Linked DNA regions of Arabidopsis thaliana. The protein of the gene in region 1 interacts with the protein of each later gene in a pairwise test. Each region holds a gene or a part of one and is shown in the gene's direction. Other genes may lie near its edges. The genes, in order: SUB, QKY and AT5G16220.

Region 1 (9,633 bases):
CCGGGATTGTTGTCGACGTTGCTCAAGAACCGGTTTTGACCAAGCCCAGTTTGGTTGAACCGGAAAAAGGATCGGAGGTTTCGGAGAATTGTAGTTTAAGCGAGAGTTTGCTTTCGATCGTGAATAAGTACGACGAGGAAGAAGTGAAGCAGATGAAATCTCATGTAGTGAGACAGAGATCTCCGGCGAAATCTCGGAACCGGGTCATGGTTAGTTATCCAAACCGGAGAACCGATATGTCTCCACGTAAGAGAAACAACGAAGAAGAAGCTGGCTCGGTGAGGCTGGTTCCGTCGGCTACGGGTACGAGAGACTCGACTGAAAGATCCGAGAGAAGGTCTAGATCGCCGGCGATGAACAGGTCCGTCATGATGGGCCCAACTCGGAGTCAACAGAGTACAGACAGTTGTGGAGCAATGAGGAGACAAAGCCAGTCTCCGGGTCGGGTCAGACTCAATCCGAATATGAACGGGTCGGATCAAGAGTGTAATCATCACAAGTGGCCGGGTTCTATTGGAAATTACAATTCTGCCCCTAACGACTCGTTTGAGAACCCTCTTGTTTCATTAGAGTGTTTCATCTTCCTATGAGATAATGTATCTTATTACCGAATTATCGCCGGAATTTACAATTTCGAAGTTATTTGATCTTAATCAGTTTTCACATGCTTCGCCAGTTCAGAATCTGTTTGGTTGTGGATTTTGAAAAATACTAAAATGTTTTTCTGTTTTTGATTATAAAAAATGAGAAATTAAATTGTATGATGTGTGAGTAGGGTGGCAAAAGATTTGCTTCCGTGACACCAATTATTATATATTTTCTGACAGTCAAAATCAGACGCAAGCAAAGTCACGTAACTTTGACCCCAAAAAGAAAGTTACCATCATACACTAAATTCAATTCACTATGATCGTCCGAACCAACAAATTTCAAATAATGTATCATGAATATTTGAGTCTTCATCTTTTATACTCAAATAGGCTAAACTTATTAGTAATTTATTTATTGTATTATCGTCTAGAACTAATCCACGATTTGAATATGCTGTGTGACTTATAAAATCAAAGAAAATACTTAGTTAACATAAGTGTATTGGTTTAGTTTTTTCCTATATTAATAAACCAATACTCTTCTTTATTTCAATCAAAATGTAGTTCTTTTTTTTTTTTTACATCAAAATGTAGTTCATTTATAATTGGTTTAAGACTTGATTCATAGTGTAAAAACAAAATAGTTATTTAGTTTTACATGAACCATTAGTAGGTTCTAGTTTGTGTATAAAATAGTTTATTTGTTCTACAGCCTTACTTAACTATCTTAGTTTATATTCAATCGTGTAAAACAAAACTGGGATCCTTCCTTTTTGGTTACCATAGGTATGGAAGTAAAAGTATTTAGGTGTTGTTTAAAAAGTACAAAAATTCGATTTTGTGGTTTGTCTATTAGTAAATCATTCAAACGTTTTTTCTTTTTTTTTGATAGCAATTTTATTATTATTCTTTTTACTTTTATAGGCTCATCTTTTGGAGAGAGCATTGTAAAGATTATGCTTTTCTTAACGCTTTCTTGTTTGTCCTTTTGCACCCCACATCACACGTTAACTAATTTATTGGATGAATGTTGAATAATTTCCGCCGAGAGAAAAAAAAACAGGCTTCAATAGTTCTGTATCATACTTCAAACTAATTTAGAAAGTTTGAGTGTATCATACTTGTGTATATTGGAAAATGAAAATGGAACGAGACAATTCAATAGTTCTGATCAATTTAATATTTTCAAAACGATCAAGTGCATAACAGCAAATTGTATCCAAGTATCGTCTAACAAATTCTTTTAAGTTCTTTTTTTGACTTTTCATAATCTATAGAACTTTTTCTTTGAAGCTTCTTGATGTAAAATGGTAGGGCGGAAAAAGCTAGGGTGATGTAAAACCAAAACTTGAACCAAAATTCGTGTAGATACGTAACTAGATTTGATTTAAATAAATAAAACATTCGTTATGTGCCTTGGATCCTCTGGCTAACGGGTGACCATAAAGTAGTGTTGCATTCTTTAATTTTGTTTCGCCTTTTGCGTAATGAGAGACCATATTATAAAATAAAGCCTAACTTTACAATATCTGTATTTTTTCCTCGACACTCTTTTTTAAGAGACCAATAGTTTGAATTCATTATCATGCATCTTCCAATCTCATAACTAATTTGGTATGCATGTATAAGTGCTACAATCATTATTATATGGGGTTTCTGATTTTTTGAAGTACAAGAATCAAAATGAATCCAACCTGATTGGTGTAGTTTTGGGTCGAGTTCGGTCGAAACAAAAATTTGATTCGGTATTATTTATTTGATTTTGGTTCGGTTTATTATGGTTGGCACTTGGCATATTGGTTTTGAAAAAAAAAAATGTTATCATGTACGATTTTTTTTGGGTGCAAAAAAGCATCATGTACGATAGTTTTCTACTTTTCTTCAAAGATTGAAAGTAACCGTTGCAATCTCATTGCATTATTAGGCCTACGAGAGGTATCTTCTTTCAAGTGGGCTTTACCATTACACTATTGACCAAGTTTGGGCCACATTTGGTTTGAATAGCCCATAAGAATGTGGTTTTTTTTTTTTAACTAGTCGCAACTTATTATCGTGTATGGTGTGAACTTGATTGATTTTGACAAGCCAAAAAAATCGATTGATAATTAATTGATCTCGACAAAATAAAAATCTAATATCAACACATAAGCTCACCAAGCATGTTTTATTCTTTATTGATCATACAATGTATGTTTGCTGTTATTATTCGGGTTGCAAATAATTTATGTGAATATCAGAACTTCAGAAGTAACTCCTACCAAAAAAGGAACTTGAGAAGTAATCACATATGAATATCGAAGTTACTCTCATCTCAAATTATGCAATGATGGCATTCCATTAAATTACTACTATTGAATTGTACACAAATCCTCCATCACATCAACCAACAAACAAAGAATAATACAAATTAAGAATATATTCCAAAGAAATTGATAAATAGTGATTGTTAGTTGTAACTGTAAACACAAAACCAGAATTCTTAATTATTAATAGAAAAACAAAGGTTTCGAATGGTAACCAAAATGCACCGTGCAATCATACATATAACATTAGTTAGTTATTTTTAGAATATATTGAAAAGATAATTATTGTATAATTACTAAGTATATTCAATTTAAAGTCGTAAGAAAAAACCCTTTATTGGCTCTAATTGTTTAAAAACATATATTAGGATTCACTAAGATGTATAATTGAAATCAATTTCCAAACCATGTAAAAGTACTAGTTTTCTCAAATAGTTTGTTGCTATTAGTTTGTTACTAAAACTAATTCACACATTTTTATCACCAAAAGAGCAAAAATGGACGTGGGATGAATATGATGATATTTTTTTTGACCTTGTTGTAGGGTCTCTCACTCTCTTCTTCCATTAAAGAATTCTCAGAGCTTTTCTTACTTCAACTGTTTTCTTGGCCCATCTCACTGAAATAAGTGTGATAAACTCTGCCTGTTACATTATTTGGATTTTAATAGGTGAAGTAACGGAATATGTAATCTACATCAAAATAATATTCACTTCTATCTCTCTACCTTATGGCATTAGAAAAATCCAATTATTACATGAAAGGAAACTATAGTAATTAGATGAAGCATAGAAGCGACAATTAAAAGACATAAAGAGAGACAAGTCTTGGCAAGTTTTCTCTGTTTCACACTTTGGAGACGAAACCTTAAAGGCTTAAAACTGAGAAAAACAAAGCCGTTGGCTTTTGTAAGCCGCTCGTTCTTCGAGACAAAACACACTACACTCTTTCTCTCTCACTCACTCTTCATCTCTTTTCTTCTTTCTCTCTCTCCTAAAAATCCGACGAAATTATGATTCACTTTACCTTTTAATCAGGAATATCCCTGTTTCACCCTTCTTCTTCTTCTTCTTCTTCTTCTTCCTCGTGTTTTTTTTCCATAACATTCCCTCTGAATCTTCGTTTTTTATTGGAAAGAAACAATCTAATCCAAGTTCAAGGGTTTTCTCATCTTCAGTGGCTGAAGTTATGAGCTTTACAAGATGGGAAGTGTTCTTTGGTCTCTCTGTTTTAGCCTTGACAATGCCTTTCTCAGCTGGAGTTACTAATCTACGAGATGGTAATAATCTTTCTCTGCAAAGTTTTTTTTATTTGGATTTTGCTTTGACTCTCCTTCTTTTGGTTTAGTGAACACTCTAGATTTTTTTTAGACTTGTGTCTAGTGAAAATGACTTACATCAGTTTTAGGGTAAACTAGGTAAGCAATATAGCTGTTTGGGAAGCTCCAGATTGGCAAAGTTCTATGATTTTGAGGCTACCTCAAAAACCCTAAAAAGTTTAGGTTTTTGACACATAAGCTCTTGTTAGGGTTTTAGTTCAAGACCAAGAAATTTGTTCTTATTGTTCTTCATTAAATGGTTATCATAAGAAAGATTCTTTAATCTCTAGAAATTTTACTTTTTGATGTGTTTGTCTGTTGTTTAATAACTTCTGCAGTTTCGGCGATTAATAACTTGTATATCACTTTGGGAGCACCATCTCTACATCATTGGCTTGCTTTTGGAGGAGACCCTTGTGGAGAAAAGTGGCAAGGTGTGGTGTGTGACTCCTCAAACATCACAGAAATGTATACTTCCTCTTCTGCTCTTGTAACTCTTTGTTATGGTTTGCTTTGAGTCACCAATTCAGGTTCTAACCACGTGAATTATTGTTGTTGGCTGCAGAAGGATACCTGGCATGAAGGTAGGTGGAGGCTTAAGTGATACTCTGGCTGATTTTTCATCTATCCAAGTCATGTAAGCAAAGCTTCTTGTCTTGTTTTCTTTCATCTTCATCTTTTGTATGAGGCTTCTTGCTATGTGAAGAACATGCAAGATGTTGTTACCATTGACTATAAGGTTTGGTTATAATCTTGAATTGCTTTGTGATACTTTTTCTCTCTTCTTTGTTTGAGTGGACAGGGACTTCAGTAGCAATCATATTTCAGGGACAATTCCGCAGGCTTTGCCTTCTTCCATCCGAAACCTGTGCGTTTGAGAATTGACTATGTGTATGGCAATACTTATGTTTCCAACAGTTAAAAGACACTTCATGTTTGGTTTCATTTTCTTGTTTCAGATCTCTCTCAAGCAATCGCTTCACTGGGAACATTCCCTTTACATTGTCCTTTCTATCCGATTTGTCTGAACTGTAAGTCTTTATTAATGTAGATACCGTTTCTTGCATCTGCGGTTTTTCCTCTGTTTGAAGCAGACTCTTTCTTTTCCCTTCAGGTCATTGGGAAGCAATCTTCTATCAGGAGAGATACCAGATTACTTTCAGCAGCTATCAAAACTGACAAAACTGTATATTTCCTCCTCACTAAGTCTCATTTTGTATCCTCCCATCAGCGTCTTTCATTTATACATTAAGTTTCTAATGCAGGGACTTATCGTCTAACATACTGGAGGGGCATTTACCTTCTTCCATGGGAGACTTAGCTTCTCTTAAGATATTGTAAGTGCACATATATGAAACCGTATACAAACATTGTTATCATTGCTTTTATATGTGATGTGGTCGGACTGTAGGTATTTGCAGGACAACAAGCTCACAGGAACACTTGATGTTATAGAGGATCTTTTCTTAACCGATTTGTAATCGTTTTTCACCTTGCATACTCTTTGTTCTTGACTCTCCAACCATTAAGCCAACTTCAGTATCTCACTATGGCTTTTCATATTTTTGATTCAGGAATGTAGAAAACAACTTATTCTCGGGACCTATACCGCCAAATCTATTGAAAATTCCAAACTTCAAGTAAGTATTACTAAAAGAAAACTTGAATGTTTTTTTTTTCCTTTTCTTTAGCCATTCATGTTACATTGTCATTATAACCGCAGAAAAGATGGAACTCCGTTCAATACATCGATTATAACACCACCGCCTCCGCCTGTGGTTGATCCTCCTCCCGCTACTCACCGTGCTCCTCCTGTTCCCCGTATCCCTCCTGTTTCTGGTGTTCCCCCAGCACCTTTTGCTCCTTTTGCTCCACTGCAACCACAACAACATCCACCACCATCACCACCTCTGGTCTGGTCACCACCTTCTTCTGATAATGGAGGAGGAGATCCCTGGAACTCTGTGTCAGGGCAACCTACCTTGCAAATATCACCTCCTTCAGGTTCAGGATCAGGAAAATTCTGGTCCACTCAAAGAATCATTCTAGTAGTTTCTTCAGTGGCCATAATTGTTCTTGTATCCGGTTTGTGTGTTACACTTTGGAGATGTTGCAGAAGTAAAATATATAACCGATATTACAGTGGAGCTCGTAAAGATTTACAACGACCATACTTCAATAAGCCTCCATCTCAACCAACCCCCACTATGGGAAAAGGTACACTGATTCTTTTCCTTCCAAGAAAAGAAAAGAAACTTGTGCTTTGGCTCATTACCTAACGGCAAACTGCTGTGGTGTTTTCTTTTGTTGCAGTTTCTCGGGAGCCTATGGTTAAGCCTTTCGATGGATATGGAGCTGGAGACAGGAAATATGGGTATCCAATGCCACAGCGGGCTGAAGAGAGCCGGAGAGCAATGCCTCCTACTTCATATTATAATAAGGATGTTAATACACCTCAAAAGCCGCTGCAACAACCACCGAGGCAGTTCCAGTCCAATGATACTGCTTCAAAGAGAGCGGCTCATTTCCCCCCGGGCTTGAATTCCTCATCTTCTGCTACTGTTTTCACCATTGCTTCACTTCAGCAATACACAAATAATTTCTCAGAAGAGAATATAATCGGGGAAGGGTCGATTGGTAATGTCTACAGAGCTGAGCTTCGTCATGGAAAGGTGTGACACTTTCCTCTTATTTGTCATTTGGTCTTACAGTATTTTATGCTGTGCATTCTTATTTACGTCTTGACACGTTGTGATCTATAGTTTCTTGCGGTGAAGAAGCTGAGCAATACCATCAACAGAACACAGAGTGACGGCGAATTCCTCAATCTAGTCTCCAATGTGTTGAAGCTTAAACGCGGTCATATATTGGAGCTTCTTGGTTACTGTAACGAGTTTGGTCAAAGGTTACTTGTGTATGAGTACTGTCCTAATGGATCACTTCAAGATGCACTACATTTGGATCGCAAGTTGCACAAGAAGCTCACTTGGAATGTACGTATAAATATTGCATTAGGAGCTTCAAAGGCATTGCAGTAAGTTAAAGAACCTCAACATGTTACGCCAATCTATATTTGGAACATATAGGATCTTAGAGTTTGGTTTCAGGTTTCTTCATGAGGTATGTCAACCGCCGGTTGTTCACCAGAATTTCAAGTCTTCCAAGGTTCTTCTTGATGGAAAGCTCTCAGTACGTGTTGCAGACAGCGGTTTGGCTTATATGTTACCACCACGCCCAACGAGTCAGGTAAATTTGTCATCTTATTTTGAAGATCCCAAACATAAGAGTGAGTGTTGTAAAGGATATGATGTTTGCTTATAAAATTGTAGATGGCGGGTTATGCCGCTCCTGAGGTTGAGTATGGAAGCTACACTTGTCAGAGCGACGTATTTAGCCTTGGGGTTGTAATGTTAGAACTGCTCACTGGACGCAGACCATTTGACAGGTTAGCTACTCTAAAGAGACAACTAATAGAAGCCATAAAAGAGTCTGAACTCAAAAGTCAACATGTTCACTTATGTTTCTTATGCAAAATCACTGTACTACACTATCTCAAGACAAAACCCTGTTTTTTTTTGCAGGACAAGGCCGAGGGGACATCAAACACTAGCTCAGTGGGCGATTCCTCGGCTTCATGACATCGATGCGTTGACAAGAATGGTTGATCCGTCATTACACGGAGCGTATCCAATGAAATCATTGTCACGTTTTGCAGATATCATATCACGTTCACTGCAGGTAAACTTAACTTCATTCATCACTTAACTAGATGAGAAAGCAATGTCAAACACGTGACATCAGAATATTAACTAACCCTTTTGACTTCTGTGCATGCTTATCTTTGTCTGTAGATGGAACCAGGATTTAGACCGCCGATATCAGAAATAGTCCAAGATCTTCAACATATGATCTAAGATACACAACCTTGGACTAAGACGCAGAAGCAATAGTTTATTGTCAGATTCTTGTTCTTTGTCCTTTGATGAATGAAAGTATTTCTTTTGTATTATAATAACACTTTATGTATGTTGTTGGCTGTATGAAATGAGCTATGGGATCATCATTATGTAACCCCAATCCCATTACCGGCTCAAACATTATTCACCAACCTGATCATGTATTTAGATTCTATTTTCTGAAAAGGATAAACATTTTTTGAATCAAAAGACATTAAAATTCAAGAACAAAAGGTTGTACTTAACAGTAGTGTAAAAGAGAAGGTAACTTGTTCAACTAGCACTGTAGACAACAAAACCTAAACTTCAAATCAATCTGCTCCACAGAGGGCATGTGATTGATGCTTTAGAGTCGTTTCTCTGAAAGAAAGCTCCCGAAAGCCGTAGTCAAGGCAGTGGATGTCACGAATGAGGCTCTTAGTAAACCTATGGCCTGGATTAGTGTCAGATTCAAAAAAAAATATCAGGAAAGAATAGTAATATAGATATACATGTGTTTTGCCAATGTTGATTTCATGCTCAAAAATATCGTCCAAGTTCACATCAAACTTCTTCTTTACGCAAATAGTAAGATCATCTGAGACAATGTATGTTGCCCCTCTCTTAACTAACCCATTGCTACCATGAGGTGTCGACTGAGAACTACCGTCACTGTTTAAATAACTGACCCCAAGCAACGGTTTCTGCAAACTATATTGCCAAGGAAGCATACATGTGTTAGTAGATGCATCTGTGCCTCCCCTAGAGCTCAAGTCCTTCAAGCTTCTACAAAAGTTGCCAATGCATACTAGGTCGATATTGCTTCCAGTGATTTCCCATACAGACTCCAAAGGGATAGCAAGGAAAATGAAAAGTAGATCCACAAAAAGTCGTGTCCGCTTTCAGCGTCAAGAACCTTCATGTCCTGCTTCCTAGCAAACAGAGTGAGTCCCTGCTTCACCTCCATCTTGCGCGGGTAGCTTTGGCATGTCATGCCAACGTGTCATACCACAAGAGCTATGCTTCTTCATCATCATCAAATTGTGGAATCTCTGATCTATTTATGCCATTACGTTTTCGCACTCTCCGATCTATTTATGAAATTTTTGAATCCAGGTTCTATCTCTGCTTCATTGCTTGCTCTCTTCGGAAACTCCTTTCACTGATGTCTTTTTGAAATTGGGCCATCTAATTTTTTTGCATATAGGATGATCACTACTTGCCATAATTGCTCAAATGGCTATAGAAAATGTAAATTCTTACTGATGGAAAAATATAAACGAGAATTAAATGAGGGATCTAGAGAATTATGGGGGTGTTAAAATAGCAAATCTAATATTATTTAATTATAAATTTTAAAAGGTCTAATAAAATCTAATAAAATCTAGTGTTATTGAAAGCTTGAAAATCTACTCAAAATTTTCATGTCCTTGAAAACTTAAGGATTAGATTTTTAATGATTGTAAGAGATTTTTAAATCTTATGGC
Region 2 (8,504 bases), about 24 Mb from region 1:
ATACATGTGCAGGTTGAGTTTAATGAGTTTGGTGGAAGTTCAATGTTGGCTGCAACTATTGCTTGGGATGATGAACTCTCTTGGACTCTGGAAAATGCTATTGAAGCACTCCAGGAGACTATGCTTCAAGTTTCTTCTGTTGTAATGAAGTTGAGAAACAGATCTTTAGGAGTATCTGTTTTAAGCAAGAATCATGTTCCTACCAAAGGAGCTTATTTCCCTGCTGTAGAGAAGGCTTTAGAGATGATTAACCAGAAAAGTTCACCCCTTAACAAGGTAGTTTAGACTTTAGAGATTGTGTTCGTATCTATTCTTAAAACAAGTTTATAGGTTTCGTTTTAACTGATGTTTTTGGCTCGTGGAATTAGGTTGTTCTTGCTCGTAACAGCAGGATAATTACGGATACCGACATTGATCCCATTGCTTGGCTAGCACAGTTACAGGTGTGTTTTTATCTCTGGATATTATATAGTAGTCAGTTTTCAATGTTTAGATTTATATCTCACTAATTTTTTTGTGTGACAGCGTGAAGGGCATGATGCATATCAGTTCTGTCTTCAACCACCTGGTGCACCAGCTTTTATCGGAAACACGGTAGGTCTTTTTATATGTAGTCTGTGATAATAAGTTCTGTTGATAAAGATATGTGCACATTTGTTATTTATTTCTAAGAAATATGTTTGTGACATACATCTTTGTGAAACAGCCTGAGAGACTATTCCAAAGGACTCAATTAGGTGTCTGCAGTGAAGCTTTGGCTGCAACTAGGCCTAGAGCTGCTTCTAGTGCTCGTGATATGGAGATAGAGCGTGACTTACTAACCAGGTCAATTTTTACTTCAAGTGCTTTGAACAATTACAGAATCCAGTTCTCCATTATCATTTTACTGAATTTTTGCTAAACTGTTGCAGTCCGAAAGACGACCTCGAGTTCTCTATCGTACGAGAGAATATAAGAGAAAAGTTAAACGTAAGTTCAATCTTGATGCTCTGCAGCTTCAATGCTTCATTTCTTGGATAATAGTTTGGTATATTTTTTCTTATTATGCTTTCTTCTGCTTTGCAGGGTATATGTGACAGAGTTGTTGTCAAGCCTCAAAAAACTGTGAGGAAGCTTGCAAGAGTGCAACATCTATATTCTCAATTGGCAGGGAGACTTACGAAGGAAGATGATGAGGTGAGATAATAGTATTGGAATAGTTTTTACATTTCCAAGCTCTTCATTTCTTCGAATTAGCTTTAACCCTTTTTCTTTCTATCTGTCTATAGTATAAAATATTGGCTGCTCTGCATCCAACTCCAGCTGTTTGTGGGCTTCCAGCAGAAGAAGCAAGGCTTTTGATTAAGGAGATAGGTAAAATATCTACCTTGGTTCAACTATCTTCTAGTAACTATAGATGTAGAGATTAAGAATTATGCTGACTCAAACATTTTGCTTCTTCTAGAATCATTCGATAGAGGAATGTATGCGGGACCTATTGGATTTTTTGGTGGCGAGGAGAGTGAATTTGCAGTCGGGATCAGATCAGCTCTAGTCGAAAAGGTGAGCTTATTTGATCTCTTTCTCCCTTTAAAAAACACACTTTAACACTAATTGTTATAGCAAAATCGATCATTACGGTTTTTGCTACAACTTGTAAAAAAATGCTGAACTGTATTTTGATTTACAGGGTCTTGGGGCATTGATCTATGCGGGGACAGGGATAGTAGCTGGAAGTGACCCATCTTCAGAGTGGAATGAGCTTGATCTTAAGATATCTCAGGTACGAGCTTTTGTCCAGAAAATGTTTAGTGACATCATGGTTCTCTGTTACCAAAATCCTAATTTTTATTCTCTCTTTTGTTGTTGTTTTTGCAGTTCACCAAGTCAATTGAATATGAAGCAACAACATCTCTACAGGCGATTAATTGAAGAAAGAGTAACATTTGTATTTGATTGTTTTGTTTGTATGGGGGATAAGGGGTTCTCACAATAAGAAAGCAATGTTGTCTCTCTTGTAAATTAAAAAAGAAATGCTTTAATTTGTTAATGGGCCGAGCCTTTTCGGGTTGTAACTAGGGCAGGCCTATCATGAATGTTCATAGGCCTAGCTGTTATGATTGTTAATGAGCTTCTATAGTGTTTTTCTTCAAAGACAGATATATTCAATATGGATCTAAAACTGAACTGAATTTAACTGACATGACAATCGAATCAAATTGAATTTATTTTTTCAATTTTCATTTAGCAAGAAGTGACCCATCTTCAGAGTGAAGTAATCTATGCTTATTATCTCGATTAAGCAAAAATCCGTAGAATGCTTGGGCCTTTCAACGATGATGTAGCCGTGTAGGACAGGTTTACGGAATCTGCTTTTATGCAAATGGTAAATATTAATATTCCTTTATAAGTTAGCGTTTCAGATCATCTTCTTTCGTTAGATTAAGAAACTACTTTGTTATTATATAACTATAAATACCATCCAACAACCTTACTCGCCATATCTTTTCATGTGTGGTGGTTTATAGGAACATTGAAAAGTACCATATTATAAAATGAAGAATCAACACGTCAACAAAAACACAAATAAAATGAGATAGTACAATTAAAAAAATGGAGCGCATGTAAAAAGTGAAGAATCAAACGAAGGCTTGGCGATAGAGAATGGAATCAGATTTCCCATTATCCCCACTCTAACACCATATATTCCTTTCCCTTTTTACCCTCCACCTCAATTAGGTTTATTAATCATATTTAACACTCTAATTAACCAACCCATTTCATCTCTTTTATTTTACTAATCACAATGCTTTGGCCTCATTACGTTTTACCTAGATTTACTTTGTCACAAACTACACAAATATGAACCTAATTATCTACACTCGTGTCAGAAACAGTTTTAGCTAATATTTAGTAAGTTTTAATTAAAACTAATGAAATGAATAAATAGTGTATAGTACATAGGATTTGTTTTTAGTTTATTAATGGAAATTAAGATTTCATTAGTACTAAAAACATGTAAATAAAATAAAGCTTTAAAGAGGAATATATTCAAATAAAAAAAGCAAGACCTCGAAAAAAAAACTTTCTATTATCTCTCTTCCGCGATTACCGTAATCTCTGTCACAAACAACAAAACCTTCTCTCTCTCACTATCTTAATGAGAGAAGAAGACATTCTCGAGAAATGAGAAGACTACCACTACGATGAACACGACGCCGTTTCACTCGGATCCTCCGCCGTCGAGGATCCAGCGTAAGCTCGTTGTCGAAGTTGTTGAAGCTCGTAATATTCTCCCTAAAGATGGTCAAGGAAGCTCTAGCGCTTACGTCGTTGTCGATTTCGATGCTCAGAAGAAACGAACCTCCACTAAGTTCCGTGACCTAAACCCTATTTGGAACGAGATGCTTGATTTCGCCGTCTCCGATCCCAAAAACATGGATTACGACGAGCTCGATATCGAGGTTTATAACGATAAAAGATTTGGTAACGGAGGTGGCCGGAAGAATCATTTTCTCGGTAGGGTTAAGATCTATGGAAGCCAGTTCTCGCGAAGAGGTGAAGAAGGTCTTGTGTATTTCCCTTTGGAGAAGAAGAGTGTGTTCAGCTGGATTCGCGGCGAGATTGGACTCAAAATCTACTATTACGACGAAGCCGCCGACGAAGACACGGCGGGTGGAGGTGGAGGACAGCAACAACAACAGCAACAGCAACAATTTCATCCGCCGCAACAAGAAGCCGATGAACAACAACACCAGCAACAATTTCATCCTCCGCCGCAGCAGATGATGAATATACCACCGGAGAAACCTAATGTAGTTGTGGTTGAAGAAGGTAGGGTTTTCGAATCGGCTCAGAGTCAGCGCTATACAGAGACACATCAGCAACCTCCGGTGGTTATTGTTGAAGAATCACCACCGCAGCATGTAATGCAAGGTCCAAATGATAACCATCCTCACCGAAATGATAACCATCCTCAACGGCCACCGTCTCCGCCGCCACCTCCATCGGCTGGGGAAGTACATTATTATCCACCGGAAGTGAGGAAGATGCAAGTAGGAAGACCTCCCGGCGGAGATAGAATTAGGGTTACGAAGAGACCACCGAATGGAGATTATTCACCTAGGGTTATCAATAGCAAAACTGGAGGAGGAGAGACGACGATGGAGAAGAAGACTCATCATCCTTACAATCTTGTTGAGCCAATGCAGTATCTCTTCGTTCGGATTGTGAAGGCGCGTGGCTTACCACCTAACGAGAGCGCGTATGTTAAGGTACGGACGTCGAACCATTTCGTCAGGTCTAAACCGGCCGTTAACCGGCCCGGCGAATCGGTTGATTCACCGGAGTGGAATCAGGTTTTTGCTCTTGGTCATAACCGGTCTGATTCCGCTGTAACTGGTGCGACTCTTGAGATCTCTGCTTGGGATGCTTCGTCGGAGAGTTTTCTCGGAGGAGTTTGTTTTGATCTCTCTGAGGTTCCGGTTCGTGACCCGCCGGATAGTCCGCTTGCTCCTCAGTGGTATCGGCTCGAAGGCTCCGGCGCGGATCAGAACTCTGGGAGAATTTCCGGTGACATTCAGCTCTCTGTTTGGATTGGTACTCAGGTAGATGAGGCATTTCCGGAGGCTTGGAGCTCTGATGCTCCGCATGTAGCTCACACGCGTTCTAAGGTGTATCAATCGCCGAAACTTTGGTACTTGAGAGTGACGGTTCTTGAGGCACAGGATTTACACATAGCTCCTAATCTCCCGCCGTTGACTGCGCCTGAGATTCGTGTGAAAGCTCAATTAGGGTTTCAGTCGGCGCGTACAAGAAGAGGCTCAATGAATAACCACAGTGGTTCGTTTCATTGGCATGAGGATATGATCTTTGTTGCTGGAGAGCCGTTGGAAGATTGCTTGGTTCTGATGGTGGAAGACCGGACGACTAAAGAAGCAACACTTCTAGGACATGCCATGATCCCAGTGAGCTCCATCGAGCAGCGAATTGATGAGCGTTTTGTGCCGTCGAAATGGCACACTCTGGAAGGAGAAGGTGGAGGTGGAGGTGGAGGAGGAGGACCTGGAGGTGGTGGTGGTGGTGGACCTTATTGTGGAAGGATTAGCCTTAGACTTTGTCTCGAAGGTGGGTATCATGTGCTTGAAGAGGCGGCGCATGTATGCAGCGATTTCCGTCCGACGGCTAAGCAGCTATGGAAACCGCCGATTGGAATACTTGAGTTGGGGATTCTTGGAGCTCGTGGGTTGTTGCCGATGAAGGCGAAAAACGGAGGGAAAGGTTCCACTGATGCTTATTGTGTTGCTAAGTACGGGAAGAAATGGGTCAGGACTCGAACCATAACAGACAGTTTTGACCCGAGGTGGCACGAGCAGTATACGTGGCAGGTTTATGATCCTTGCACCGTGCTAACTGTTGGAGTCTTCGACAATTGGAGGATGTTCTCTGACGCCTCCGATGATAGACCTGACACACGGATTGGGAAGATACGGATCCGGGTGTCGACGTTAGAGAGCAACAAAGTGTACACCAATTCATATCCTCTGTTGGTTTTGTTACCTAGCGGTATGAAAAAAATGGGTGAAATTGAAGTGGCAGTCCGGTTTGCATGCCCGTCTCTGCTGCCTGATGTTTGTGCAGCTTATGGACAGCCGCTTCTGCCTCGGATGCACTACATAAGGCCTCTAGGTGTAGCACAACAAGATGCATTAAGAGGGGCCGCCACGAAAATGGTAGCAGCTTGGCTGGCTCGAGCAGAACCACCATTGGGACCAGAGGTAGTTCGATATATGTTAGATGCAGATTCGCATGCATGGAGCATGAGGAAAAGCAAAGCGAATTGGTACAGAATTGTTGGTGTTTTAGCTTGGGCAGTGGGTTTAGCTAAGTGGTTGGATAATATCAGGCGGTGGAGGAATCCAGTGACGACGGTGCTAGTCCATATTCTATATCTGGTTCTTGTTTGGTACCCTGATTTGGTAGTCCCGACTGCATTCTTGTACGTGGTGATGATCGGAGTTTGGTACTACCGGTTTAGACCCAAGATACCGGCTGGTATGGATATCCGCTTATCACAAGCTGAAACCGTCGATCCTGATGAGCTAGATGAAGAATTCGACACCATACCAAGCTCAAGGCGACCAGAAGTAATCCGAGCTAGGTACGACCGATTAAGGATCTTAGCAGTGAGGGTTCAGACCATTCTAGGAGATTTTGCAGCGCAAGGAGAACGGATTCAAGCGTTGGTTAGCTGGAGAGATCCGAGAGCGACAAAGCTGTTCATAGCAATCTGTTTGGTAATCACAATAGTTCTGTATGCAGTTCCTGCGAAAATGGTGGCGGTGGCTCTAGGGTTTTATTATCTTCGGCATCCGATGTTCCGAGACACAATGCCTACGGCTAGTCTCAATTTTTTCCGGCGGTTGCCAAGCTTGTCCGATCGACTCATCTAAGGAGAGAAAGATGTCAAGATAGTAAATGTTAGGTGTTTTTGAGTATCCAACAGTTTCTTGGGCTGAGGAGGAAATAGAATAAAAAGATTCATTATGGGTTAAGAATTTTATCATATTATTATGATTCTTCATTTTATTATTCAGATTCTGTCGGAAACTATAATCAGATGGCATGAGCTTTGAGACCTGTAATATTTTGAAGGAAACGAGAGAGATTTCAGATTTGAGAGGTGAAAAAGGAAGCAAAACTTGTCAGTAAAGTTTTTTGACCACAGATTTGCTTTTGGTATCTCTGTAGTTTTCTCTGTAATCTAAAATGATTTACTAATTCCTCATTTAACTTATTTTGTTTACGCCTAAACTATTACATGTAAACATTGTCTGATTATATAAATTCTAAGTGAAAAACCGGAGATAAAGCGCTAACGAAAATGATTGGTTGAAATCACAAAGACATCATCTGACGTGGCAGTTTCTCTGTCTATCAGAGTTTCAGATAGTGTGCCAACGGCGAAACAAGACACGAAAGAATCTCTAAAGAAATCATTTTCATCGCTTCGCTTCGATTTTTCTTCAATGGCTGTCGTCGGCGCTCCAATATCGTCTCCGGCGGCTCAGCTGCAGACACAATTTCTCTCCAATCCCATTCTCCCCCGCTTTCGCCGGTCTTTCTCCACCGGAAAATCACCAGCAACTTTCTCCGTCGTAGCTATGGCTCCCCAGAAAAAGGTAACTAACTCTCTTAATCATCTCCTTTGTTTAAGTTCTGAGATCTTTTGCACTTTCATCAATCACTTCATAAAGTATAAATCTTTTTTGATTCTCAAGATAATCTTTAGAAACATGAATAAGCAGTACATTTTAGTAATGGAACAAAGACATTGAAGTCTCTGTATATAGTATTGTTGCAGAGTTTTATATATACTTTTTAATTTGTGTAATTGTGATCACTGAATCGGGTAACAAAAGGTGAACAAATATGATGCCAAGTGGAAGAAACAATGGTACGGAGCTGGATTGTTTTTCGAAGGGAGTGAGCAAATAAACGTTGATGTTTTCAAGAAGCTGGAGAAGCGAAAAGTGTTGAGCAACGTTGAGAAATCTGGCCTGCTGTCAAAAGCAGAGGGGTTGGGACTCACATTGTCATCTCTTGAGAAGCTTAAAGTCTTCTCCAAAGCAGAGGACCTTGGTCTTCTCAGTCTCCTTGAGAACTTAGCTGGAACATCGCCTGCGGTCTTAGCCTCGGCTGCATTACCAGCTCTCACGGCTGCTATTGTAGCCGTGGTGTTGATCCCGGATGACTCAACTACTCTAGTGGTTGCTCAGGCGGTTTTGGCCGGTGCTCTTGCGCTTACAGGGGTTGTTTTGTTGGTTGGTTCTGTTGTTTTGGATGGACTTCAAGAAGCTGACTGATTCTTTCTCTGTAAACCGAACATAAACCCATGTCTTGTCCAATTGATTTTTGTCAGTTGCTGATTTATAGCTGTATGGTTCAGTTGTTTATGGTTAGTCCAAGACATAAGCTGAGTGATAGAAAGAAGCTTTATAATAATTAAACAAATATTACATACACATTCATTCATTCTCCAGTGAAAAGCCTAACTACGCCCACAAATTACAAATTTCCAACTTCCCCAAAACCAAAAAAAAGAATCTCTAGAAACAAAGTGAAGTAAGCCAAAATCACATCTGAAAAAAGCCCAGAAAAAAACCCTTCATGAACGTGTAAGAAAAGCAGCCATCAGATTGCTTCTGTTTTGGTGATAAACAAGTGTAAAGATCAAACTGCAATAGATTGTCCAGTGAGTGCGTCGTGTAGATGCATTGACCCGTCTTTCATCAAGTTTAAGCTTAAGCTTTTAAACCTCTCTCTTGAGTATTGTCTTGATGCCTTTCTCCAATCAGTTCCAGCTTTCATCATCACCACAAACTCATCATAGTTTATTTTTCCGTCCTGCAAAATCAAACATTATGACTCCTCTTAAGTATTTAATAAACTTTCTATAGGAAGAGTCTTTATAGCGAGAAAGGAGCTGATGTATAGAGCTTTAGAAAAACCTTGTCAGTGTCGAC
Region 3 (7,058 bases), on another chromosome or scaffold:
ATTGATTATTTACGTCTGTGATTAATTATACTAATCCCTTAAGCTAACCATGGACATTTGTTAAGTTTTAGGTTATTTGTCATTAATTCGTTTTTTTTTTTGAACGATTCATCTAATATTCCGAATTATTACTCCCGTAGAAAAAGCCATTTATCTATGGAGAAATAGATAACTCCCGCATAAAAAGCTAGTTGTCTGTGGAAAAAATATGTACTTACACAACATTTGTTGTTTTTTTTTTTTGGTAAGGTACACAACATTTGTTGTTTGTTAAAGAGTACGTGTACTTGAACAACATTAATTATAAATCTCCGTGTAATAAATACATGAAAAACCTCCCCTTATTATCAATTTACCATTATCGGTATTTACGAGTTAAAGGTAGTCATTTAATTAATCAGTCGTGATTCTAAAATACAAACCTTCTTGGGCGTTTCCAAATTGTTGTTGTGTTACTTTTTAAAGAAAGTATATTTCTTAGAATATCTCATTAATTATATGCGGATTTTAATCCAATTCACGATGTTTAAGTCTTATTGATTTTAAGTAATATCTTCATTGGCTGTCAAGTCAAAAATTCTATGAGAATTTTCAAAAAATAACTAAAATGATGGTGAGTACTATTCAAGAAAAAAGAAAGAAATGTACATATAAAACGAAAGACCATGGAAATCTGTTCAGAGTTAGAAAATAAGACTTTTTCAAAAAGAAAGAAATAAGACAACAAAATTGGAGACGTAAATACTAATTAGTTATTTTCCTTCACAAGAATCGCAATGTTATAAAGTAAACAGAATAGGATAGATCCTAATTACTCATAAACAGCAAAGGAATAAAGTCACGGTCGATCACCAAATATCAAAACTAATCAACGTTATTGACCGCTATATAGTATATATCTCTCAAATTTCGTCACTTGATATTATTTCTTCTATTCTACTAAGAACCAACTAGGTAATACTATCACAAGATTTCTTGCACTTGAAAATCGAATCGGGAGAGAAAGGTATTTTAGATTAATTTCCATGACATTCTGTTATCTTAAACACTATTGATCATGTTAACATAAAAACAATTTTGGTCTTCTTTTTAGGTAACTGATGATTTTTAGTGTTACGTTAATTATGATTCTCTGACGTACGTTATATTATCTTTGGTCCTCTAACGTATAAGCGTTACATATTTTTTCTTTTCTTTTTCCAACTATACTTTAACCAGAAACCTACTCCAATCCAATCAAGACTTCAAGAGGGTATGTGTCTACGAAAGAAATTTCAAAAGAAATAAGTATATTAGTATAGAAAACGCTAAAGTGAAAGTATCTGAAACGTTTACTGAAGAAAAATTCGAATCTTTGGTTTCCAATATTGTGATGAATCTTTTAATCATAGGTTTTGAAAACTAGTTTGGAATTTGTCAAAATATACTGGTTATAGAAAAAACGTTGAAGTATACAATATTGCTTTTATCTTCCCATACGTAACTTCTGTTTCCGGGATCATAATGAAAATTATGAAGAAAAAAAAATCATGAGTATCCTAAACGTGCATAAGCTAAATGAATTCCGCAATATGATTTTTACAATTAAACTTTTGTTATTTTTTTCAATTAGCTTTGTTTGGGTAAAAAGTAACTAAGTAAGTATTAATGTTTATTTTCATTATAAAAACAGTAACTCAGAGATTTGAACATACAGTTTCGTCGGTTTTGGGGCATAAAACACAAATAAAAAGAAGCTTGGTTTTGATCTTACTTCGGTAAATGTATTTATGGATGATACCTCAAATCGATCCACGTTATATAGAATGAGCCAAACGAGTATCTTATTAACCAAATTTGTTTTTTTTTTCTCATATCAGCAAACGGCATTATTACGATTTACGAGTGTTGATTTTATTAACCAAACCGAACCAAACAAACTTAATTTCATCCAACACGAACCCAACTCAGCACAGACCGTTCGCTTTTAAGCTTTTGTTCAATCCAAACCGAATCAATATTCTAACCTGTTCATTTAGACAACTAATTAAATAAATATGATAATCTCTAATTAGTAAGTTAGTGAGAAAGAAGAAGTTAGTATTGATACTTTAGTATCATTTTTTTTTATTGTTATTATAAATATTAAATTTAGTACCACTAACCCTGAAAAAATTCATGAGATTTCTATTTCTGAATAATTTAGTTTTTACATCTTCTTATCACTCGCAAATTTCTAATCGAATTCTTACCGTAACACCTAAACCGAATATAACCGAAATAAATATAAAGTCCACCTCAAATCAGCACTATATATCAAACCAAAATTGTATCAAATCTATAATACACTAAAGAAACAACAATGATTGAACTAATTAACATTTCTCGACACTGAAGAAACTAAAAAATCGAATAAAGCAGAATTACTCTACCGGGTTAAACCCGGTCTGGATTATCATTCACCCGACCCGGTTCTAAACCCGTTTTAAAAGTAACGCGCTCGGGAATATCAGTACATGGGCCCAAATTACTATGCTGATACATTCAGTTAATGATAACGTTACCGTCACAGTAAAGCTAAACAACTTCGATTCGATTAAAAAAAAACTCGCCGCTTATAAACGGCGTCTGCCCAAAAAAGTAGGAAACTCAGAAGTAAAAAAAAACCAAAATCGCACCTCCATGACCACCGTCTCCTCCGCTTTCGCCACCGTAGCGGAAGGCGCGAAGGTTGTCACACCGAGATGGAAGAAGAATGAAAGAAATGGAAAGTTACGGGTGATGTGTAGGTATGGCGGTAGTATAGTTTCACCTCCGCAGACGAAATCGCCGCGTTATGTAGGCGGAGATACTCGAATCGTCGCCATTCCTTCTTCCGCGGAAACGAGCTTCGCTTCTCTTGTTAGCCACCTTACGGTTACGCTCAAAATCTCTTATCCTTTCAAAGTTAAATATCAGCTTCCTGATCAGGAACTAGATTCGCTTATCTCCGTCGAGGCGGATGAGGATGTTCAGATCATGATGGAAGAACACGGTTATCTCTCCTCCGAGTCCTCGATTCCCCAATCGCGTATCCGATTGTTTCTTTTCCCATTGAAATCACAACAATCGAATGAAGCTGGTGCGAGTCAGGGAGATTCGGATCAGTGTAAAGTGGAGACCGATATCGATTGGCTTGGAATCGAAGAGTCTAATAAGCCTATTCGTGAAGAATTGACTCAGCCGGTACTTCAGCACCCTAAGACGGAGATGTGGTTCGTAGACGCTTTGAAGAGCGTGGAGATGATGCAGACTAGACGAACTAATAGCGGAACTAGCGGAAGTGGAGATGGTAACGGCGGGATTTGTGGACAGGAGTCGATGATGCTAGAGACTAATTCATCCTTTGGCTCGACATCATCCTCGGTTTCGTCGAGCAATTTACCTCCGATAAAAAGCTCCGGCGAGGACAACATAGCGAACTCGCAAGTCAAATTTGCGCCAATAGAATCAGTGACAAGGTATTCTTCTATGCTCTTAACTGTTTGATTTCACCATTTGATTGCTTTATCGAATAGTTTTAGGTGTAAGCGTTCTAAAACTTATGTACACAATTTGTTGTCTAGGAAATGCAATGTGCTATGAGTTTTTGAATTGTTTAGCCAGTGACACAAATGAATTTGGTAGTGTTGCAGAACGAGTTTAAATGTGGTAATATATAAGCTATCTCTTGAAGTAATGATTGGAAACAGAAACTGAATTCTTGGAATGATCCTGTAGTCGAATTAGGTTCTCGTCTTCATGTATATGATCTGTGAATGAGTTCATAGGCTTAGGCAATCAGGAGTTTGTCTCGTTTGCCATTGTGTTATGGTAATTCTCAATTCGGATCAATGTGCTCCGAGTCTCGGGGATATGTTGTTCCTCATTTGGTATTCAGCTACGAATGTAATCTTCGAATTATATGTATTGGTAGAGAAGGTGCCAATCCTCTAAACCTTGTTTAGTTGGAAAGCCTTTTTGTAACTGTTAACCATTTTTCCTTTTGTTCTTACTCTACGAACAGCAACGACAATTCTGCAGTCACCCCAATACCTTCCCACGAGCTACCATCACACTCACATGCTTTTGAGAACAAACCGTCTTCAAACTTGTATGTGGCTGAGCTAAACAGACCAGTTCCAGTCCCAATTTCCGGGTATCCACCATTTATGAACCAAGCTCAACAACAACATATCCAAGTCATTTACACTGGACAACCTTACATTACCGGAAACTCACCTATGACATTGCCTGCCACAGCATACCATCACACAAACCACGTCTATTATCAGCGTCCGCCACAACCATACCCAATCTATTACATTCCAGTCGAGCAGTACAGTTCGAGGCACGTTCAAGCACTGCCTGTGAAACCGAGCACCGTTTTAAACTATCACCAAGTTGATTCCCCGGTGGTCCGCACCAGCAGCCCTCTAGCGCCAGAGTTTTCCTCACAGGTTTATCCTCTATCCAAACCCGTTGATTCATCGGTACAGACATCAAGTGAAGCTACTCTTAATACTACTTCAAGAGATGCTTTCATCTATAATACCGATGTCGATGACGACAACGATATAGCTCATGCTCAAATTTACAAATCTCAGCCTCCAGCTCCCACATTACCGTCTCAGTATTAAACCATTATGGTAACCGAAGCTTTCAGTCAGGTACAGACACACTATGCTTGAGAGATCTAAGAATCCCATCCATTCTCATGTTGCTGCACTTTCAGGTATTTGGCTTTACAATTTTGTTTTGGTTCCCATACATATTATACAATATACATGCTTCTGCTTTTCGTCTCTTTCATTCAAGTGATCCTTGTTTCACCTTCTTTACTCACTCTTGTTGTAATAACACGAAGAAGTTTACGGTTTTTTCATCTTTCTAGAAACATTTTATAAAGAAATTTATGATATTGGAGTACTATTTTTGTTGTCCTTGTGATTGGTGAGAATTCATTGATGTCATAAGATGAACATATTTTGATGATTGTATTGGTTAATCTGCGGAATAATTATGCTTATCTTATATGTTTTACCAGCAATCGCCCAATTAGCAAAAAGACTAAACACTTTTGTAAGTTTAAAATTTTCTTATTTTTGCAAGGAAAAGTTGACTTTTCTCTCTCAATATGGCCTAAGCAAACACGTGACACAAACGACGTTGCCATAATCTTGTGATGTGAACCGTACACGTGTCTTATAGCTTACTGTTTACACAATCTGGTTCAACTAATCCACGATGTACCATTACATTGTCGCACGTGATCTCTACCGTCACTCGCTTCCGGAGAGATTCATCGGCGAGAACACCGACACGATCTGGTGAATCGAATCCGATCGAATCGAGAGAGGAAAAGTTTGAATTTTCATTTGGAATGCTCAGTGATATTGGAACGAAGGAGGTGTTTCCTCTGATTGGATTTTAGTGTTCCCGTGAAAGAAGAAGAAAACAAAACATGGACGCGGAGCGATCGTCGTTGTGCAACTTTTTCGTCAACTTCCTGATGGAGGAGAACTACCTCTTGACGGCGTTTGAGCTTCTTCACGAGCTCCTCGACGATGGCCGCGATGCCCAAGCAATTCGTCTTAAGGAGTTCTTTTCCGATCCTTCCCGTTTCCCTCCTGATCAGATTTCTCGGTATAATTCAATTCGAGGTTCGCCAATTTTCCGCATTCTGCCTCACATTGTTATTTTGTTTGCTACCGAAATTGTCAGCTAAATCGTCCCTCTCAGTGTGGTTGAGCTGCGTTACATTTTAGTGATCTTTTTGGGGATCTGTTGTATGATGTGAATAAATTAGCTATCTTATTTGGTCTTTCTTAATTCAGAAAGCAGTTGAATAGTGTTCAGGTTGGATCATGGACATGTTTTAAAAGTTATGAAAAGCACAGTAGTTCATAAAATGATGGAGAATCCTGAAAATGGTGGAGTCATGTTTTTGTTCTTCATGCATTTGATGTTCTTCTCATAGTCTAAGTTTGAAAAGCAATCATAATTGAAGGTTTCTTGAATGGTGATTGTTCAGCTTGTTAAATGGGGTATACTATTATGACCAAGAACAAACCCATGTCGGATCTTGTGTCGCATTCTGAGGTTTTTGATTCTATAGTGTCAGGCTTTCTTAGACAACTTGGTTTGTAGCGTAGCTAGTAATTGTTACCCTACAATGCAGTTGCGGATCCACAAAGTTTGTTGGAGGAGAAAGAAGCTTTAGCTGAGAAGTTAGCTATCAGCGAATATGAATTTCGTCTAGCTCAGGAGGATATTGCAAGATTGAAAACTGAAGGACAGAAGAAATCTGTTCCTTCGATTGACAAGTCAGAAGGTAATCCATTACTGAAATATTTATTCTGATCTTTAGCGTCTCGTAGTTAATCTTCTACTTAGATAAACGTGTATATATAAACACTCAGTTCGGGTTTTGTGGCATGAAGTCGGTTATTAGGGTTTCAGAAACTTCAGTGATGATCTTAGTCTGAAGTGCAGACTCTTCAATGTATTAGAATTTTTCTCTGCAATAAGTAGTTGTTAGTCTAAGTTTCCAGTTCCTGTACGCCAGCCATCTCCTCTTTTCTTTCATTTTTCTCCATGGAGATATTTTCTGCTTAGGTATGAAAGCATCATTTATAATGCATATGAGTTTTATTCTTTGTTATTTTCATCAGTGCCAGCATGGTAGCAACCTAATCACCAAACTATGTCCTGATAGTGTTTGTTATTTCTCAGAGATGGATTCGGATGAGTTTGGAGGCAACAGGCCAGAGATTCAACGGAAAAAGAAAGATTTTTCCTTCACTGATATAGGGCCTTTGAAGAACAATGAACGTCAAGACTTAAACTGTGCAGTGAAAGAATATCTTCTTCTAGCAGGTTATAGGCTTACGGCTATGACATTTTATGAGGAGGTATCTTAATTTTATGTCTATATGTTTACCGTTTTTTGTGCATAGTTTACAATAGTTTATTTTTGATCTTCTGTTTTTCTTGTCTGATTGGCAAACACCATTTTGGAATCTTAATTACCCTTTTCTGGTTGTGTTGCTACTCCATTT

Evidence for each region.
Region 2: the proteins of SUB (region 1) and QKY interact in a two-hybrid assay, tested with the Arabidopsis thaliana proteins (2 studies listed by BioGRID, with this or other methods).
Region 3: the proteins of SUB (region 1) and AT5G16220 interact in a two-hybrid assay, tested with the Arabidopsis thaliana proteins (one study listed by BioGRID).

Annotation. Positions count from the first base shown.
Region 1 is NC_003070.9:3,719,054-3,728,686, forward strand, and holds SUB (Leucine-rich repeat protein kinase family protein), read left to right. Parts: upstream 1-3,654; 5' UTR 3,655-4,081; coding exon 4,082-4,172; intron 4,173-4,515; exon of another isoform or gene 4,516-4,549; coding exon 4,550-4,679; intron 4,680-4,776; coding exon 4,777-4,848; intron 4,849-5,013; coding exon 5,014-5,079; intron 5,080-5,170; coding exon 5,171-5,242; intron 5,243-5,325; coding exon 5,326-5,397; intron 5,398-5,476; coding exon 5,477-5,548; intron 5,549-5,622; coding exon 5,623-5,688; intron 5,689-5,785; coding exon 5,786-5,851; intron 5,852-5,934; coding exon 5,935-6,428; intron 6,429-6,524; coding exon 6,525-6,883; intron 6,884-6,973; coding exon 6,974-7,245; intron 7,246-7,318; coding exon 7,319-7,457; intron 7,458-7,540; coding exon 7,541-7,656; intron 7,657-7,792; coding exon 7,793-7,949; intron 7,950-8,062; coding exon 8,063-8,125; 3' UTR 8,126-8,397; downstream 8,398-9,633. Other genes in the region: AT1G11125 (uncharacterized protein), read left to right, coding at 1-590; AT1G11145 (hypothetical protein (DUF674)), read right to left, coding at 8,479-8,583, 8,659-8,991, 9,063-9,113. UniProt on the Arabidopsis thaliana protein: Regulates the expression of transcription factors that define the cell fates.
Region 2 is NC_003070.9:28,071,988-28,080,491, forward strand, and holds QKY (C2 calcium/lipid-binding plant phosphoribosyltransferase family protein), read left to right. Parts: upstream 1-2,939; 5' UTR 2,940-3,185; coding exon 3,186-6,431; 3' UTR 6,432-6,844; downstream 6,845-8,504. Other genes in the region: EDS16 (ADC synthase superfamily protein), read left to right, coding at 13-276, 369-443, 526-594, 707-825, 912-969, 1,066-1,176, 1,269-1,353, 1,445-1,542 and 1 more; AT1G74730 (transmembrane protein, putative (DUF1118)), read left to right, coding at 7,008-7,160, 7,401-7,844; CPK30 (calcium-dependent protein kinase 30), read right to left, coding at 8,212-8,385, 8,490-8,504. UniProt on the Arabidopsis thaliana protein: May be involved in Ca 2(+)-dependent signaling and membrane trafficking. Plays a role in fruit dehiscence. Components of the machinery involved in organ development mediated by the receptor-like kinase STRUBBELIG (SUB).
Region 3 is NC_003076.8:5,296,183-5,303,240, reverse strand, and holds AT5G16220 (Octicosapeptide/Phox/Bem1p family protein), read left to right. Parts: upstream 1-2,598; 5' UTR 2,599-2,661; coding exon 2,662-3,479; intron 3,480-4,024; coding exon 4,025-4,637; 3' UTR 4,638-5,129; downstream 5,130-7,058. Other genes in the region: AT5G16210 (HEAT repeat-containing protein), read left to right, coding at 5,462-5,660, 6,179-6,331, 6,733-6,911. UniProt on the Arabidopsis thaliana protein: Collaboratively with SUB and QKY, regulates cell growth anisotropy during gynoecium development, thus linking together cell-cell communication and cellular growth.